2 linked regions of the Caenorhabditis elegans genome follow. The protein of the gene in region 1 purifies or fractionates together with the protein of each later gene. This does not show direct contact. Each region holds a gene or a part of one and is shown in the gene's direction. Other genes may lie near its edges.

Region 1 (3,896 bases):
TCAAAGTTAATCTGTTGTTCTACCTCTGCGGTTCCCGTGAAGTCCCATCGAGATATGATTTTTCAAGCGGATTCTTGTCGCTAATAGTTTTTAAAGCTTGATGATCAACTTCCACGAATATGCGAGACACTTATTAACAAATTTTCACTTATTACTGTAAACTAAACATTTCAAAATTAATAAAAAAAATTTAATTACAGGCCATAATAGCGTGACACTCGTTCTGCGTACATCTGGCTTTATTTCCACGTGTCCCACGAGTTTTTCTTCCTCTTCAGTTTTTGATCAGTGCTAATTGTTTTCGTTAGAATTTGAAAACTTCGAAACTTCGAAACGAAACTACTTCGAAAAAAAATGAAGATAAAATGTGTTGAAGTCAACAGCGACAAATATTCGATTAAATCAGTGCTTGGAAAATTCTGTGATACAAACTGTGGAGGAATCAATGTGTGAGTTTCAAGATTTTTCCACTTCGGCTAATACAATACTTTTTCAGCTCATTGTTTGTCTCAGAAACTACTTCGAATAAGTATAGATTTGAATGGGAATTAAAATGGGACGAATTGAAGAAGAAAGGGGTCAAGCATTTGTTTGGAACAATCACCCCGGAAACCAACGACAAGTTGGTTCCAAGCATTGATTTTTCTGTTGATGAAAAACGCAGCACATCTAATTTGGAAACTTCTAAAGACTGGTTGTACAACATTCCTTTCAAGTACAAAATTTTCTACAAAGAATCCGATTATTCTGGATTAACTTTGGAAGAACTTTTCAAGCCATCTGAAAGGAATGATGCCGTTTTAGTGATCGGAGGTACAAAGATGCATGTCAATAAAGCTGTAAGATGTTTTTTTGCAGTTGCAGTGTCCTATATTTATAATTTTCCAGTTGCTGAGCTTCCATTCTGAATATTTTCGAGCTCTGTTCTCCTCGAATTTCAAAGAAGGAAAGTTGACTGAAATCCCAATGTATGAAGTTTCATATGAAGATTTCTCGAGAATGCTGGCAGTTTTGTATGGAAATGAAGCTTTATTGAAAGGTGATCCAATCCTTCAAACTAATATGAATTCATTATTTCAGATGATAATTTGGAAAAGATGTTGGAGCTGGCCGATCAATTTCAGGTGCCACGTGTAACGGCTCATATCGAGACTCATTTGTGCCACTTTTCGAAAATGAAGCAGGATCAATTGATGCGTTTGGCAGACAAATTCAATTTGCGTACAATCATCGAAAAGATTATCAGTGAAGTGGACACTACTCAAAAAATGAAGAACCTCAAGAACTCGGCAGTGTTCTGGAATTTATCAGATGAAACGAAGGTGCTCTTCCTGTATCGTCTCATGCAATTGATCTAAAGGATGGTATAGATTGAAGTTTTTTTATTGTATAATTTATGTATTTATTGTATTTTCGTGGTATAATTATGGAAGAATAAATGCATCGCATTTGAAAGTTTTTTTATACAGATTATCTCTTATTCAAAAAAGTTACATTTAACTAGTAAAATCTAGCCAGAAATTTAAGATCGTGTAGAACTCAGAAGATATCCGAAATCAGATGGCAGTGCTGAATACTGCTCATAACTATTTTTGTTACCTTTTTTTAAACATTGGTAAATATTGGCTTGGCTTAAAGTATGGCTTATGACGTGAACCAACATTGAAAATGGACGAATATTCTGGAAATTGAGTTTTTTTAGATAATAAAAAACGCTGTAACTATATATAAATAAATGTAATGTTTGTTTAAAACACCTTTTCTTCCAGTGCTACACCCTTTTATTGATCTTTTGTGTCAATATAAGTAGACTCTTATCACTTTGAACTTGTTCACTGACATTCTATTCACCATGACAGTCAATTCTTTATTCAACAATTTTACTTTTTTTTAAATATTAAACTTGCATTATTATTTTTGAAGTGAGTTAGTGAACGAAAACAAACAAAGACCCTCCACGGGTACTCACTATCAGTACTACTCACGTATTTGGATATTTTTTGCGGGGATTTGGAAAGCCATTTGCAGTTCCAACCAACTATGTTCTTAAGAAGACGTAATTTAAATTCATCAAGAATCATATGCATCATATCAATTATCGTGCTTCTTCTTATAATCATTTCACTATATCCTCATAAGCGGACACAATTTGGAAGATATTCTCGAAGACAGAAGACCATTCGATTTCAGCATAGTACTGGAGAAATAGGCAAGTAATCTTTTAAATCATACTTTAAAATAAATTTCCATTTAGGCGATCAATTATTCTCTCTACTTTCTCATCTTGGTGTTGCAAAAACTCTTTATCGAATTCCAGTTATCAATTCTGCTAATAATTCAAAATTAATCGATACTCTTTCAAACGCAATGTTTACAAGATTTCCATCGATTCTGCAACAATTTTTAATTGCTATTGAACCAGTAAGTGCATTTTTATAAAAATTTTCACAATTAAATGTATTATTTCAAATGATGATAAATTTGATTTTTAGCCAACAGCAGTGAATAGAGAACTTGGAATCGAGAATAGTTCGTACGAAGATCCTCTTACAAAGTTCTCAGAGGACACATCTTCAAGTCTGATGGTCAAAGGTTTGAGTGATCAATATAGTTTGGAAGTCTATTGTTTTTTATTCAGGGAACGGATTCAAAAGTTTTAAATATTTTGATAATTTGCGTTCTGACATTCGCTTGTGGGTATTGGAAGACGCCGAAAGTGTTCTAGAAGCACAAAATTTGATTACAAAATCTCAACGGAACAACTTCAAGTAAGCATTTTGATCATTTTAAAATTTATTTTTATTTATTTATTTCAGAATTTGTGTGCATGCAACATTAGAAAGCAATAAGAACTGCAGTGTTAAAGCAATTGCACAAATTCTGAATCATTGTAAATTAATTGAAACTTGACCATTTTTAGCCGTTCGTTTTCAGATACCAATGAATATGAGGATGTTATGTTGATAATTGCTAGCCCGTTTCCGGAATTTACTCGTTTCATTTTTACGAACTCGAGAATCAGAAAATACAAAACTGAAAAAGTGAGTTTAGTAAGTACAAACTTTCTTAATAATTTGTTATCATTTTTCAGTTTTCATTGATCAGTTCTTCACCAGAAATGCAAATTATTTTTTCAAGAATCTATTGTGATGTTGTATTCTTGACAGTTCCATATTCAACACATGGATGGTGGATGGGATATTTGGCAAAAGATGACAATAGCCACGTGTTCTATTTTGATCCAGACATGTTCCCGAAAAATAGAACGGCGAACCAAGAAGACTATTTCCCGCCAAAATGGAAGAAATTGTCAAGAAAAATTCAATGATCTCGATTTATCTTGTACAATAACTAACTTTTGTTTTGAATAAATAATTCATTAAGGCTGTGTATATGCAGTTTTCAGGAAAAAAAAACTGTTCAACGTCGATCACATTTTACTCACAGCTTTTGAGCCAAAAATTGAAATTAAATTTCCACCCAGAAGAAGACAGCGTCAGAGCCAAAAGAACAACCAAAAATCGGCAATTTAATTTGCCTGTATACAAAAACACGGATGTTTTTAATGTTTTAAGTCAGCTGAGTTCATAATAAACTTGATAACAAACGTGTCTTAAACTTCATCAATTGATTGTGCAAGTTTATAGAAAAAGATATATGTATCTTGAAAACCAAAAAACACGTGCAGGGTAACTAGACTTCAATTTTTGGAAATATAAAAATATACTACTAATATGTTTGTATTAAAATAATTTTATGAGAAACAAGTTGATAATTGACAGAAAACAATTATTTACAGAAAGGTACGTGCTTACAAAATGAAACTGGTTCAAGATTCTTCTTAAGTCCATCGAATCCCTTGAAAATTGTGTCCATAATATTTCCTTTGAACATAA
Region 2 (2,874 bases), on another chromosome or scaffold:
TAGTCTCCAACAGCACTGTATCCGTCGTCAGTTACCTTGCATGTTGCTAATTTATGGCATTTGTTTTTGACACAACTATCATCTTTCACACAATTTCCTCCATCGCCGGAGTATCCAGTCGGACACGAATCACAATAATAACTGCCAAGAGTGTTATGACATTTTGAAAGCGGAGAGCATACACGAATTTCACCTTCACATTCGTTGACATCAATACAAACATTTCCATCGGCTGAATTTATTTTACTTTTTGGATTTCAATGACAGATATTCAGTACATTTTTCGACACCTTCAAACTAACAAATTCTGATTTTTCACATTGTTAAGCCGAAGTTTATAAGACTTTCTCTCCTCATTCTCGGAACTGAGAAATCCAAACAAGTATTTTCACAAAAAAAGCTTGAAATTTGTAAGTGTTATACAGGGTAGGCACTTGTTCAGGCGTACGTGTCTACCTCATGCCTACCACACACCTATTGACCTATTTAAATGCCTACTTACCTATTTTATGAAAACGTTTTGGATACGAGTATATATTTTCTAGACAAGAATTAAACCAAAAAAATTATTTTATTTTTGATTTGATTGAACATATATAATTCTAACTTACTTTTATATCCTTTTGGACATCCGGAACACACAAACGATCCAGGCAAATTAATACAATCAACTCCTGGATGACATGGATTTGATTCGCATTCATTGACATCAACACACGTTGGATTGTTCTTATCACTTGAAACCTTGAAACCCCAATCACAAATACACTTGTACGTAGTTGTATCGGAAGATGACTGACCAGTTGGATCCACAATACTCTCAATACAATGCCCATGTGGACCACACAATTCAAAAGTTTTCGAGCAAGCGGACATATGATACTGACAAAGAGATCCATGATATCCGGATTGGCACTGACATTCAAATCCGCCACGGTTATTGATACATGTTCCATTGTTCTGACATCCAGCAGTTGTACCATTGTATACTGAGCATTCATCGATGTCAGCTTCACAAGTTGTACCGGTGAAATGTGGAGGACAAAGACAAGTGAATTTGGCGCCAAAAGATGGGATACATGTGCCTCCATTACTACATTTGTTCGGATCGCACGCGTTTATTGCTATCAATTTGTTGATTCCTCTTGAAAGTTAACAATTTATAAAAAATAGTCAAACCTAACTTGTTGTGTCTTACATGATTTGACGTGTCATTTTCACCAATAATCCCCGTCTCCTCATGTCTCTGGCCATTTTATCAGTTTTCCACTTCTTCAAGATATTCACTTCGAGTGTCATATTTCGAAGCTAAAAATTGATTTCAAAAAGAGAAAAAAATGTATGGAATTACCGCTACTAGATAATGTTTTGCAGAATTTAAAACCACTCTCATTGCAGAAGTCTGCGTGTCCTGGCGACTTTTCAAAGTGGTGAACATTTGAGAAGTGTTCTCAATACGTCCAACAAGTTGCTTGAAAGATGCCTGAAAATTATTTTGAATATTGAAAATTGTAATTCGAGTTAATTTTCAAAAACTTCCATAGTTCAAACATTTTCAAACAATTATTCATTTTGAAAAGTTTTATAAAAATAATAGAACTTAATTATCAAAATTTACGTGACCGTTTCTCAGGAAAGTGATTCTTTTTAAATAGTTGTCAAAAAGTAAATTTTTGCGTGATCTCCGACTATCTAATTCCAACTCTTACTCGTAATCCACGTTTCGTTCCTTTTTCTAATCTGACCGTCTATGTTTTAATCAGTTCTTGAAACATGGGCAAGAAGAAGTCTGATACGGCATCCGGTGGAGCTATTCCAGAAGGAGACAATGAGAAAGGAAAGAAGGTTAGTTAAATTTTTCATTATAGTGTTCCCAGAAAACCTATTGATTTTCAGATCTTCAAACAACGTTGCGAGCAATGTCACGTTGTCAACTCATTGCAAACAAAGACTGGACCAACATTGAACGGAGTGATTGGAAGACAATCCGGACAAGTTGCTGGATTTGACTACTCGGCTGCCAACAAGAATAAAGGAGTTGTATGGGACAGACAAACACTTTTCGACTATTTGGCTGATCCGAAAAAGTACATCCCCGGAACTAAGGTAGGATTTTCTAGGAAGTGCGATGGAGTATTAATAAGAAATTTTCAGATGGTCTTCGCTGGTTTGAAGAAAGCTGACGAACGAGCTGATCTCATCAAATTTATTGAAGTGGAAGCTGCCAAGAAACCATCGGCATAAGCCTCTACTAAATAAGAAATCTGTGTGTTAAGCAAAGCAACGTATCAAAAATAAATGTTTTGTAGAAGCTCGTTCATTTTTTTTTTGGATAATTTCAGCAGTCTACCTACAATATCTGGAAGTTTGGAAACATCTGTTTCGTCCACATATATTCTTCCATTTCCAGTCGTTTTGAACGTTATATTTTTATCCTTTCCGGCATGCAACCACACATTTCCATCAACCATTAGAATACGTGATCTGAAATGTTTTCGGACGTAATTTTGAAAAAAAATTAAAGGATTCGTTACCTTGTTTCATATGAATCTTCGATGTGTATTTCTTCATAGTCAATTGAAGATACATGATTTAATAAGCCGAATAGTATTAATGAAAGAAATAACTGTAAGTTAGGTATCATTTGTTGCGAAAATGAAATGAAATTAATGGAGTTGCACGGTGGAGGGTGAATAATTTGTTTATGTCATTGATACCTGATTGGAAATTGAGACGATCCATTTGTTTATAACAGATTATGTAAGAGAACACCTGCCAATGTTTAGGTTATGAGTAACTAGTGGGCCGTTGAATTTGTGTTCGGTTTTAATGAAAAAACTGTTAAGCTGGCTGAAACTCAGGTATCAAAATATG

Evidence for each region. Proteins that work in one complex are often made in the same cells at the same time.
Region 2: the proteins of T25D10.1 (region 1) and cyc-2.2 fractionate together in Caenorhabditis elegans (co-fractionation; one large-scale study listed by BioGRID). This does not show direct contact.

What each region holds. Positions count from the first base shown.
Region 1 is NC_003280.10:6,401,651-6,405,546, forward strand, and holds T25D10.1 (uncharacterized protein), read left to right. Parts: upstream 1-1,750; 5' UTR 1,751-2,040; coding exon 2,041-2,209; intron 2,210-2,254; coding exon 2,255-2,421; intron 2,422-2,492; coding exon 2,493-2,592; intron 2,593-2,638; coding exon 2,639-2,768; intron 2,769-2,816; coding exon 2,817-2,890; intron 2,891-2,934; coding exon 2,935-3,041; intron 3,042-3,091; coding exon 3,092-3,328; 3' UTR 3,329-3,390; downstream 3,391-3,896. Other genes in the region: btb-2 (BTB domain-containing protein), read left to right, coding at 355-449, 497-839, 889-1,039, 1,081-1,358; spp-11 (Saposin B-type domain-containing protein), read right to left, coding at 3,790-3,896.
Region 2 is NC_003283.11:12,611,117-12,613,990, reverse strand, and holds cyc-2.2 (putative cytochrome c 2.2), read left to right. Parts: upstream 1-1,772; 5' UTR 1,773-1,773; coding exon 1,774-1,845; intron 1,846-1,896; coding exon 1,897-2,106; intron 2,107-2,154; coding exon 2,155-2,244; 3' UTR 2,245-2,309; downstream 2,310-2,874. Other genes in the region: cubn-1 (Cubilin homolog), read right to left, coding at 1-232, 612-1,144, 1,199-1,308, 1,352-1,483, 2,355-2,484, 2,535-2,644. UniProt on the Caenorhabditis elegans protein: Electron carrier protein. The oxidized form of the cytochrome c heme group can accept an electron from the heme group of the cytochrome c1 subunit of cytochrome reductase.